Linked DNA regions of Rattus norvegicus. The protein of the gene in region 1 binds, or shares a complex with, the protein of each later gene. Links are inferred from orthologs where the notes say so. Each region holds a gene or a part of one and is shown on either strand. Other genes may lie near its edges. The genes, in order: Tln1, Apbb1ip and Pip5k1c.

Region 1 (3,373 bases):
TGAAGGTAGAGAGGGGAGGCCAGGGGAAAGAAGACAAGAGAAGAGGAAGAGGTAAGTGGGAGGAGTGAAGACCGTCACAACAGTGGGGTCCCACAGACAGTTTGAAGTGAGAGTGGCTGGGTTGGGGTATGAGGAGCAGCGCCTCCTTACCAGCAGCACGTGGTCCAGCAGCTCCAGGTAGCCATTGGCACACTCCCGGCCAAAGTGTAGGGCTCGAAGCCGCACATCAGGTGCCACTTCTGGGTGGAAAGCTGCTTCCTGTCCACAGAGTGCAGATTAGCCTTAGAGCTTCAGGCCCCCGAACCCCTTGGTCTCACCACCTCACCAGCAGCGTTTCTACCTTGCAAGCCCGAAGCATGTCTGCAATAGCACGTCGGCTCAGATTGGCTGTGGCAATGACATCTTCCTGCCGACAGGAATTGCCAGCAGCAACAGCTTTGGCTGTTGCCATAGTAATACCCTTGGTCATTCGGATGAAATCTTCAGGGGTGGAGGTCTTGGCAGGGGGCTCTGGGGAACAGAAGACCTGTTGGAAAAAAAGAAAGACTATACAGTGTCCAAGATGGGAAGGCAACACAGCCAGGGTCTAATTTCCACATCCATGTGTTCAAAAAGCATTTTTCCTTTTCTTTTTTCTTTTCTCATATATTACATCTTAACAGAAGTTTCCTCTCCCTCCTCTCCTCCCTGTCCCTCCCCTACACTTCCCCCTCCTCCAGATCTGGAGGGCGGGCCTCCCAGGGATATCAACCAAATTCAAATTCGGCATATCAAGTTATAGCAAGACTAGGCACATATTCTCACAGTGAGGCTGGATGAGGTGACCCAGTAGAAGGAAAAGGGTCTCCCAAAACAGGCCAAAGAGCCAAGGCAGCCCCCACTTCCCAACTGTTAGGAATCCCAAAAGATCAGTAAGCTACACAACCAGAGCATGTACACAGAGGAACTAGGTCAGACTGGTTCAACCTGTGAGCCCCGAGGGGTCCTGGTTAGTTGATTCTGTGAGATGCAAACAGCTTTTCTAGAGTAGGCACTGTGGGTCAAGTCCCTGCAGATATTCCTATATCAAAGCTCATAGAGAGCAGTGCTGGTCACGGTTCTGACTGGAGAGAGACTGTTGAAATTTAAGTAGTGCCTTTTGGCCGGGATGCAGCGCAGCAGAGACATGACGGGATCATGTGGGAAGTACAGTATTAAGCAAGCAGAGTGCTGAGGAATGCAGGAGAGGCCCAACTCACAGTCTATCACCCAGTGCCCCGGGCTGTGCTCACCGCCAGTTCCTGACGTATGTGCTCTGTGGTTGCCTCTAGGGCCCGGGTGCCTTTGGTGGCCTCATCTTCCACAGCCTTCACAGTCTTGAGCAACGATGTCACATTAGTCACCATCACCTGAGGGCAGCAGAGAGTGGGGAGGAGACCATGTTTTAGAAGCAGGAGGAAGTGCGCTAACCATCCCTCCTCCTGCTGTTGCTCCTACTGCTTCCAACCTTAGCAGAGTTCTTGAGCTGCCACACTGCAGGGTCATCCCCAACTTTGCCCGCTGCAGCCTTCGTTGCACTGATGAGGTCTCCCAGGGCCTTGGCTACGTCCTTTACTGCATTGATCAGCACCACCTGTGAGGGAGAGGTTACTCTGCTTTGTGAGGGGGGAAGGGCAACAGGAAGTGAGGCTTAGGGCAGAATTAGAGATGTTAGGTAGATACCTGAGTTTCGGGGTCCTCAGCTCCTAGGCTGGCTGCACCAAGCTTGACTACATCAGCGAGGCGGGTAATGGTGGCCACTGAGGACTGGGCAGCTTGTGCCAACTTCTCCTGGCTCCCAGCTGCATTTTGTACCAGGACCTTGGTGTCCTCCACAAGAACCTTTGCTGTCTTTAAGATACCCTCCCTGGGGAGGCCCCACCAGTCAGCTTTCCTCAGAGTCCCAACCTTCCAGCCCATGCCAACCTGCCTCCCTCTGGGCACTTCCCTCCTCACCGGTGGTCTGCAAAAGTTTCGGCACCCTCACGGTTAAGTGTGCCAGCAGTAGCAAACATGATGGTGGTGTCAAGGTCAGCAATGATACCAGACACAGCACTGGCTGCTGTGATGCAGGCCTGGGTACCACGATTCCCAGCCTGGAGTGCAGCCAGAACATGGGAGACCTGTAGGCAAAGGGAAAGGGAAAGTCAAAGCTGCCTATGCTTGAGAGAACAAGGAAACAGGCTGGAGAGGTACACGGAGATGGGAAAGCCACGCCGCCCCAGGAGATCAGTAGTCACCTTCTCTGATACTCTGCGGGCGCACTCTATGAGCTCCTTCTTGGTGTAGACATCACTGGGGCTACACTGCAAGGCGCCTGCCTTGGTGACCAGAGCAGAACAGCCATGGCCCAGCTCCTGTACTCGGTGCTTGATATGCGCACCTATCTGTGAATAGCAGAGGGGACATTGATCATTTTATAAGAGTGCTCAGGAGCCTCCAATGCACCTAGAGGAACCACTGAGGATGCTTAAAAACCTAGAGCAGTGGGATGGATAAACACTTGTGTGAGCCTGGCCACCGGAGTTTGGTTCCTGGAACTCACAGTGGAAGGAGAGAACTGACTTCCCAGTTGTCCCCTGACCTCTACACGTGCATTATGACATGTGCACAGCTGCACTCACACACACACTGCAAACACACACACTAATAATGATAAACAAACACAGCTTAAAAAGAACCATGTCCCACAGACTAAGGGAGCTCTATGAAAAGTCCCCACACAGTCTTTTCTGGTTTCATATCCAAGCAGGAGTCACCTCCTACACATTCAATAGTGAGAAGGCACCATGTGGTAAGGACTGTGCTAAGCACCGTGGGGAGGAGGGAGACGCACTTGTGTTTGGGTATTTGAACCAGAGCCTGTTTGGGTTTACGGAGGGTTTGGGGATTAGGCATGTCCTACTTAGATCCAGTCACTCACTTTCTTGGGAGGAGAGCCAAGAGCTTAAGCAAGGACAAGCTGTGTGGATTTGCCACACAGAAGCACCAGGAGACTCTCGGCCCAGCAGCGGTACCATAGGTCTTACTAGGGTTGACAGAGGCTGGAGAAGCAGAACCCAGAAGCCTCTGGATCCTGAGCTGTCCCTTTCACCCTGTGACTGAAGGCTTGAATCCTTTATGTCTACACACAGCCTGCTTGCCCTTTATGGAGCAGCCTTGATGGTGTGCTGCCTTCTGTCTGACTAGCTAGAGTAAGGGAGTGTGGGACACCCCTGAGGCTGCCATGGGAAGAAGCACCATGAACTGCAATCTCCTGAGAGAAGGCAGTGTGGCCGCCATGGTTACCTCCTCATTCTCAGCAGCCACAGCTGCAGGCTTGGCTTGTGAGGCCAGTCGGCCATAGTCACTGGTC
Region 2 (3,645 bases), on another chromosome or scaffold:
GAGTGTCCTGCTAGATAGGCACTAAGGTGCCTTGCGTTATACAATATTTGTATTTTTGATGAGACACATCTCCTTGTAGCCCACCCTAAAGTCATGACTAGCACTTTATTTACGGGTTTATTGTAAACCTCAGCACACCACCATCACATGGGATGGTTTGGTGGAGAAGGAGCACCCTAATATCTACCAGGCAAGGCTTTATAGAAGGCTTCAAGTTTGGGGTGAGTGTGCAAGCGTCTAATTGGAAAGTCACTGTGGACTTTAACATAACTGGCTGGTGCTTCGAGTCAGATCATGAACTTAATTTCTGCTCCCCTCTGCATTGGTGGTTATCAGGCAGGGGGCGGGCTTGTAACCTGGGGGTGCAGGTTTGTTGTGGGAATAACCTGGAGATGCTGGTCTTGTTGGGGGTGTAACCTAGAGACTGGGTTTTGTGGGTTAAAACCTAGGCTCGGGTTTTGTGGGTGTGTGAATGTGAATGTCTTCTCTGCTTTTACCTGCAGCAGGCTGAGCTGGTGTAGTGGCAGTCCCCAGGTTCGTCCACCGAGAGGCGAGTCCAGCTCTAGCCACAGCCCGCTGATAGTTATCATAGAGAGTTTTCCCGTACTAAGGAGGGAACACAGGGGAAAGAAAGGAATCCATTTATTTTAAGTTTTGCACTCAAGTCAAGAGCCACATTGAAAGAGAAAAAGGTGCCATTATTCTCCATGTATTTGGGGGGTTTATTTCATCGGTTGCTCTTTCAAATGTTAAAAAGTTCTCTAGATTTTCAAAATTAGTGAATTCTCCCACCTACACACCAGAGGTCAGGGCTAGCCACCAAATTCCAATCACAAGATTCTGACCATGTAACCGTTTAATCGAATTAATTTGCTTCTTTCCCTTCCTATGGTAGGATCAAACTCAGGACCCCACACCTGCTAGGAAAGCGCTCCACCACTAAGGCACACACACCTTTGGCCCAGTCTTGAGTTTCTTAATTGCATACTGTGTTTGCAATTCTCCCCGTGAGTCTGAACAGTTTGTTTGAAAGTCAACTCTGACTCTCACATCACTGGACAGGTGTGTGCTTGTGTAGTAATAAGTTTATGACTCCACTTACTGAGGGGGAGAAAGGAACCAAGAACAAACAGATAACATCTGTACCCAGGAATGGTGAGATGCTGGCCCTAGTAAACAGGCTTGTTGGCTGACCTAAGGACACAGGAAGCTGAGTGCACACTCACCTTGGCGATCCTTATTCCCATAACCCACTGGCTGAGAGTTCTTGCGTCATCACAGCAAAGGTACTTGATGTACTGAGATTCCTTCTGAATTTGAGGATGCTACAAAGAAGCAGTTTTGAAGGCAATTAATAGATGCAATTTATTAAGTGGAAAAAAAACTTAAAGTGAAACGTTAACAATGTGTATGATTTCCTGAGATGGTGGTAAATATACCTGGTAGCAGGTTTAGGATCAGGAAGAGGCAGAGATGTCGTTCTGAAGCCCAGGCTGGCTTTGAACTCATGATCCTTCCACCTCAGTGTTCTTGGTAGCCAAGAATATAGATTAGCATACCCAGTTTTTTTTTTTAAGAACTGTTTTAAGAACTGTTAAACTGTCAGCACCACAGCACAAGCCTGCAACTTGGGCTACCAAAAAGACTGAGAAAAGAGGATCACCAGGTTGAGATCTACTTGAGAATCTTAAAGCGACCCTGTCTCAAAAGTAAAAGGTACTAAAAGGGCTGAGGGTGTAGTTCAGTGGCCACACTTGCCTTGCATCTGTGAGGCTCTGGGTTCATCCCCTAGCAGTATTAAGAAAAAGGCCAAACTTTGAACAGATTTATGAAGCCTGTTATATGCTCTAACCACAAGCACTTCTAATATGCCAGTAATAATTGTATCTCCCCCTTTTAAATGCTGAAGCCCTTTATATCTGTTAGGTTTCTGTCCCTCATTGGAAATCAGGTTGCTTCTCTATTATACAAAGGGGATTACCTAATATGCATTTTATGTTACAAAGCCAGTGCTAATAAAATTAGAGTTTTATTTATGCCAAAATTTAGTCCAGGTGTCATTTCTTTCACCAAGAATACAGAGTTTTGCAACGATCTCTCTTTCCTAATGATGGTTTCACATCCACACGGGCACATACTCTGCAGGGGAGGGTGTCATTCGAATCTTCCATCTGTCGGTAAGTGGTCATAAACAATGTTGTACAGGGGTTATGTAGGCCCCCAGGAGTTCTCAAGAGAACAGTGATGTGGCAGACAGAAAGGAGAGATTGCAACTCCGTTTCTCGTTTCTCGAGTCTCCTGTGCTTGTAGCTTTTGTTTCTGTTTGGCTCTGACATACTGAGCTCTCTATCGATGGGAACTTTGCCTGTCTTTTTTTTTTGGAAGACTGGGGGTGCATAACGTGCCTGTCGTATAATAGAACTGCAGTCTGGGTGTCAAAATAATTGTTTAAATAAAGAAATAAGCAAGGCATTTACTCTTGCATCAGAAATGTCGAAGCTATTGGGCCAGAGGCTGGTAACCAAACCTAAGATCTGAAATATGTGTGATGTCAATTTTCATGGGTCATTGTAACTTCCATTACATTTTATTGTATATAAAAAGTAGCAACTAAAATGTGTGTGTGTGCGTGCGTGTGTGTGTGTGTGTGTGTTTCTGTAGAGCAGCTTGCGAGTCTTGCTAGCATGAGCATAAATTAGTGCTACTACACAACCAGGAGATCTGGGACCATCTACTTCAGGGTTCCACAGGCAGAAAATGAGTGAAGCAGCGATCCCTCTCTATGGCGCTGCATAGGCCTTTCCGCTTGCATTCGGCAAACTCACTGACCTTCAGGAAAGTAGGTTATCATCAAAGGTGATCTGAGCATTTGAACTGTGCCTTTAATATGCTGGGATACGAAGAAAAGCATGTGGACTGGTTTCTCTGCAAGCTTTGTGCCTGACTTGCCCCCACTCCCACCCTCTACAAGATACACAGACTGCAAGGACTTTAGTCCAAAAATTTTTGGACTAAAAATTTTTATTCCAAAATTTATTATTTCTGCTTTTAAAAATGATAAAAATTTATGTTTGGAGAGCTCCCTGTATGTTTCTTGACCCACTAGAATTTCTGAGTTTATACTGAGCCACTAAGACAAGCACCATATTTTTAAGATGTTACAGGAATAAAACATCAGAAAATGTAAAGAATTCCTGTGTGTGGTCTTTCCTAGCACCTGAGAAAAGCTGACTCTTTTAATTGGATTGCTTCCTTTACTGGCTCCAAATTTGCATCAACTTGGCCTGGAAGTCAGTTTGTATGATTATCCCTATCAGATTCCTCTTCCCTGACAATTCCAACCAGTACTCAGACTGTTGCTGTAGTTCTCCAGTTGGACCAGGAGATGGCGGCATACACTTTTGGATGGCTGCAGCACACTGTGTTCTAGTGTTGAAAGCTTCCTCAGAAATTCTCAGTGATCAGTAATGCAATCAGTAATTGCTCCAATAATCACGTTCTAAAGAGGACCTTGATGTCGGGAACATCAATCAAATCAAGTAGAGTGGTCCAATAGCAAAAAGGATTTGTTGCATTAATTAACCTAAAGGTCAGATTGTTAAAATGTGAATCAGGCACTTGGTGGCTAGCATGCGACATTCTGTG
Region 3 (4,350 bases), on another chromosome or scaffold:
CTATCGGCATTGACTTCCCTGTCTGTACACCTGGCCCCTTGTGACTTCCCAGTTTTAGGTTTTTTTTTTTTTTTTTTCAAACCTTGCTTCTTCTTAATTCGAGCACTCCTGACCTAGTTCCTTTCTGTGATGCCCAAACAGTTCTCAGCTTTTACCAGGTGTCCACATCTCTGGAGGAGCTGGTGGCCCCATCTTAGTTCCTGCAGCAAGAAGCCTTCAGATTCAGGCTTCTAACCTGCTTCCAGAAGGGGCTGATGCTGGGCTCCAGTGACCACACTTTGGAAGCCCTGGCTTTAGTCAAGCTGACTCACTTCTGTCCATGCCACAACCAATGCGCTTTTTGATGCAACTGTCTTAATGGACAGGCAGGGTGGCCATGCCTGGCATCCTAGCAAAGGGGAAGCTAAGGCTGAAATGTCTGTTTCAGAAACACAACAAACGACATATATTACATATATATATATAAAATTTTGCAATACGATGTATGCTTATTTTTATTGATTACTTATGTTGTAAATGACAGTAAAATACACTTCTTTCTTTTTCTTTTTCTTTTTTTTTTTTTGGAGCTGGGGACCGAACCCAGGGCCTTGCGCTTGCTAGGCAAGTGCTCTACCACTGAGCTAAATCCCCAACCCCTAAAATACACTTCTAATATATGTAATAAATTTCTTTTACGCACACACTCGTATAGCCCAGGTTGGTCTCTTTAACTCAATATATAGCTGAGGATAACTCAGACACAGCACTGGGCAGAGGCAGGTGGGTTTCTGAGTTCCTGGAACTCGTGGACCAGGCTAGCCTTGAACTTGGAGATCCATCAGCCTCTGCCTCCCAAGCGATGGGATTAAAATTGTGAGCCATCACCGCCCGGTTGTGGGGGATTTTTTTTGTTTTTGTCTTGTTTTGTTTTTTCGTTTGTTTTTTAAGGAATGGTCCCACTATATAGCACTGGCTAGGCTGGAACTTGCTATGTAGACCAGGCTAGCATTATCTCTAGCCTATAGATTTGCTGCCTCTGCCTTCTGTGTAGTGTCCACCTAGGGTGATCCTGAGCCTCATGTCTAGGCTCTGCCCTTAATATCAGATTGGCTGTAGTAGACTCTAAGCCCCGCCCCATCTCAGTCCCCTTCAGGCGCTCCTACCTCTCGTTTGTTTGAGCTGCTCTGTTCATCCGTCTATGGACGCTTGGAGGCGCTAGTGAGTCGTACTTCACCTTAGCCCCACCCCTGTTCCCTAATTGGTCAGGTTCCTCCCTTTGCTGAAGCCCCTCCCTCCACCCCCATACTGCACGTGAACACAAGTCCTTCCCGCACCGTTCGCTCGAGGGCGCTCGCCACTCTCCTGACTGGGTGCCGCCCTAAGTCCGGTCCTTATATCCGATTGGTTAAGAGCTTCGCGTTGACTCCAGGCTCCGCCCAGACCCCGCCCCCTCCCTCCGCCCTATAGTGCGGGCGGCGCTTGTTGTTCAGCGGCGGCGGCCGAGCTCGGGTGCATCCTCGGGCCCGCCGCCGCCGCCGCTGCCGCCGGAGCGCGCGGCCATGGAGCTAGAGGTGCCGGACGAGGCAGAGAGCGCCGAAGCAGGGGCCGTGACAGCGGAGGCGGCCTGGTCTGCGGAGAGTGGGGCGGCGGCAGGTAAATGCGACCCCCCCGTCGCTGCGATGGGTTCACCCCTCTCCCCCGCCGTGCTGCGTGGGCTCGCCCGCCCGCTTCGCCCTGCGATGCGGCCAGCCGGGTTGATCCATTCTCACGCGCGGCGCGGGGATGCTCGCGCTCTCCCATTGCATGAGCGGGGGAGGGGGCATCTGCGCTCGGGCCGGGGAGACTGCACCGCCCCGCCCGGGGATGCGGGGCTCGCAGCGCTCGGCCAATTTTAGGGTCCTTGGGTGCACGATGGAGCCGCAGGCGGGCGTGGGTGCGGCTCTTTATCCTGGCAGCCTGTGCACGCAGCGAACCTCTTCTAGATGCATGCGGTAGCGGTGAAGCAGTCCTCTGGTTTGGAGGTAGTAGAGGGGACCCGTTTTCGGGCATTCTCTTGCTGTAGGGGATAGAGACAAGTGAGTCATATCTGCCCCTTTGAGTGTGTGGTGAGTGGCTTCTCCACAGTGTGGGGGATGCTGGAGCACCCTCATTCTAATTGGGGGACCCCACTGCGGACCCTGCCTGGCAAGGAAGAGCGAGTATGTCCTCCATGCGACCCCCGTGGCTGGGCTGTCAATCTTGGAACTGTCACCTTCTGGTCCCTCCCTGCTGCATACCACTGATCACCTATTTGTGGGCCTCAATTTACCTCCCTCTAAAATGGGGGCTGGGGAAGAATAAAGAAATGATGTTGAGGTGCCTTCTCTGTCCCGGCTGGGTGAGCAGATGTCCCGTCCCATTAGTCCCCCAAACTCCCAGACCTTTCTCCCTGGACCCTGCCTGCCATGCTACAGTAGCCTGTGGGGCAACCCCGCTTCCTAGTGTCCCCTTCCCTGTCTCGAGCAGTGTCTCTGGGCTTGCATTCTGTAGGCAGGGCTGTCGGTATGCACAGCCGAGAGAGGACAGAATGCTCCCTTCTCCATCGAGGTCATCAGAACTTTCTGGATTCACAGAACTCTAGGCTCCCTTCAGCAGTACTCCATGGCTGGCATCTGCCGTTAGGTCTCTGTGGACTCACATAGGCTTCTAAGGCTCTCCCTAACTGTCCTCATGGAAGACAGGGAGGGGAGGAGGAGCCAGGGATCTAGTGGTCCCCAAACCCAGGTGGTCAGATTCGTTCTCTATGCTGTTGGGAACCCAGTGGTAGCTAATCTGCTTCTTGTCACCAGCTACCTGCCCTTCTGTGCTGCTGTCATCTGGTGTCCCGTGCCATTATGGAGAAATTATACAGGGGACAGCAGGGCCCTTAGTGGCCATAAACCTGATAGCGCCAGGCACTCAGTTCCCAAACATTGTCCCTGTATATGGAATCTTGTTCATCACTGGGGAGATGTGGGGGGCGGTGTTTAACAAGCTAGCTGGAGCAGACAGGATCTGTCACCGATCTCTAGACAAACCTGTGTCTGACCCCCAGGGGCTGTCCCTCCCGGAAGTTCCTTTTCCTGCCTAGAGTCCTGTTAGTCATCCACATAGAATCCCATCGCTGCCTGTGAGACCCACCCTTCAGTGTGGCTCCCTGATGTGCTCCTACCTGTAAACCGGGGAAGCCACCTGGGTCTCCTCTGACCTTGGGTTGAAGCACCAGAGTGCTGGCTGCCTTAAAGGAGTCAGTTGCGTTTATTTACCACCAACTGCATCTATGCCTCCACGTGAATGGGGGGGGGTGTCCAGTGTCAGTATCCCCAGCCTCGTGGGGGGCTGGAGGTCAAAGGCAAGAAGAGCAAGACCTACCCTGCTTCCTAGAAGACCTCCGCTCTGGGTGTCTGTCTCCCTGCAGACCTGGCAGCAGCAGCCTGTTATCTGCTCTGGTGATTTCCACCTATCTGATGGGAAGGAAACCTATCTGTGTGGCGTTTAGAATCCAGTTACGTTTAGTCTTCTTACTCCACGGGCCTGCCCAAAAACCGCCTGTCTCCTGCCTTGCTGCGGCTGCTGGGGCCCTTGCAATTTGTGGGTGCGTGGTATGGCTTGGGGACCCTGGGTACTAGGCGACAGGGCTGGTGACCTGCCTGGGCTCTGGTAAAGTGTTCCTAAGCTTCGCCGCTCCCAACCTGCCACTGCCTCCTCCCCCATCTGAATTGGTGGCGAATTATGTCAGCATTGCTTCTAAAATCACCCCAGAGCCTGCCCACGTCTCCTCCACCCCATGCCTCTGCTGGTCCAGCGTCCTTCGTTTTCCTTCCACCGACTCTCCGGTTCCATAAGGAGCCCGTTAGAAACTGGCTCCAGGCCCTCCCTCTGCCCACACCGCTGCCCCACCCTCTCCTCCCTGTCTGCTGCTCAGTTCTCCATGCCAGCCACAGGAGCCTCTATGTTCCTGCATGGTTCAGCACCAGGGCTCGGGGGGGGGGGGGGGCATTCAACAGGTGCGTGGGGACTGTCAAGGTGTGCCAGGTGGCAAATGCCACAGACCAGTAGGAAGTAGTGACCTTGATGTCAGGGTCAGAGCTGTTGACCTTAGAGACAAAAGGTTCAGTCAGTCTTGCCCTAGGTGTTATCCTGAGATCATGCATTTGGGTGACTGCTGCCTCTGTGTCCCCAGTGGAGAGAGGGTCTGGAGCCCTTCCTTGATTTAGACTGCCGGGGTCAAGATGATGATGTGCGCAAGAACAAGGTAATGCAGGGACTCACTGGTTGCAGCCCCCCTGCTAGGTTTTGTCAATAAAGTTTTATCAGCACATGGGAGTGTTTGCCTATTCAGAGAGCTAG

Evidence for each region.
Region 2: the proteins of Tln1 (region 1) and Apbb1ip are in contact, whole or in part, in a crystal structure (PDB 4W8P), measured with the Mus musculus proteins. The link is inferred for Rattus norvegicus from reciprocal best matches to the Homo sapiens genes TLN1 and APBB1IP. Residues at the interface, in NP_035732.2 of Mus musculus: Leu1492, Ala1495, Thr1496, Val1498, Ala1499, Thr1502, Ser1503, Cys1506, Asn1507, Arg1510, Val1526, Ala1529, Lys1530, Ala1533, Asn1534, Thr1536, Ala1537, Val1540, Ile1543, Lys1544, Asp1547; in NP_062329.2 of Mus musculus: Asn5, Ile8, Asp9, Met11, Phe12, Thr14, Leu15, Glu18, Met19, Leu21, Leu22, Ser25.
Region 3: the proteins of Tln1 (region 1) and Pip5k1c are in contact, whole or in part, in a crystal structure (PDB 1Y19), measured with the Mus musculus proteins. The link is inferred for Rattus norvegicus from reciprocal best matches to the Homo sapiens genes TLN1 and PIP5K1C. Residues at the interface, in NP_035732.2 of Mus musculus: Pro209, Val210, Gln211, Leu212, Leu214; in NP_032870.2 of Mus musculus: Pro646, Leu647, His648, Tyr649, Ser650, Ala651.

What each region holds. Positions count from the first base shown.
Region 1 is NC_086023.1:62,586,444-62,589,816, forward strand, and holds part of Tln1 (talin-1), read right to left. Parts: coding exon 3,307-3,373; intron 2,406-3,306; coding exon 2,259-2,405; intron 2,142-2,258; coding exon 1,975-2,141; intron 1,886-1,974; coding exon 1,702-1,885; intron 1,613-1,701; coding exon 1,487-1,612; intron 1,389-1,486; coding exon 1,272-1,388; intron 527-1,271; coding exon 341-526; intron 259-340; coding exon 151-258; intron 1-150. UniProt on the Homo sapiens protein: High molecular weight cytoskeletal protein concentrated at regions of cell-matrix and cell-cell contacts. Involved in connections of major cytoskeletal structures to the plasma membrane.
Region 2 is NC_086035.1:89,932,495-89,936,139, reverse strand, and holds part of Apbb1ip (amyloid beta A4 precursor protein-binding family B member 1-interacting protein), read right to left. Parts: intron 1,326-3,645; coding exon 1,227-1,325; intron 607-1,226; coding exon 498-606; intron 1-497. UniProt on the Homo sapiens protein: Appears to function in the signal transduction from Ras activation to actin cytoskeletal remodeling. Suppresses insulin-induced promoter activities through AP1 and SRE. Mediates Rap1-induced adhesion.
Region 3 is NC_086025.1:9,073,847-9,078,196, reverse strand, and holds the start of Pip5k1c (phosphatidylinositol 4-phosphate 5-kinase type-1 gamma), read left to right. Parts: upstream 1-1,480; 5' UTR 1,481-1,541; coding exon 1,542-1,635; intron 1,636-4,350. UniProt on the Homo sapiens protein: Catalyzes the phosphorylation of phosphatidylinositol 4-phosphate (PtdIns(4)P/PI4P) to form phosphatidylinositol 4,5-bisphosphate (PtdIns(4,5)P2/PIP2), a lipid second messenger that regulates several cellular processes such as signal transduction, vesicle trafficking, actin cytoskeleton dynamics, cell adhesion, and cell motility.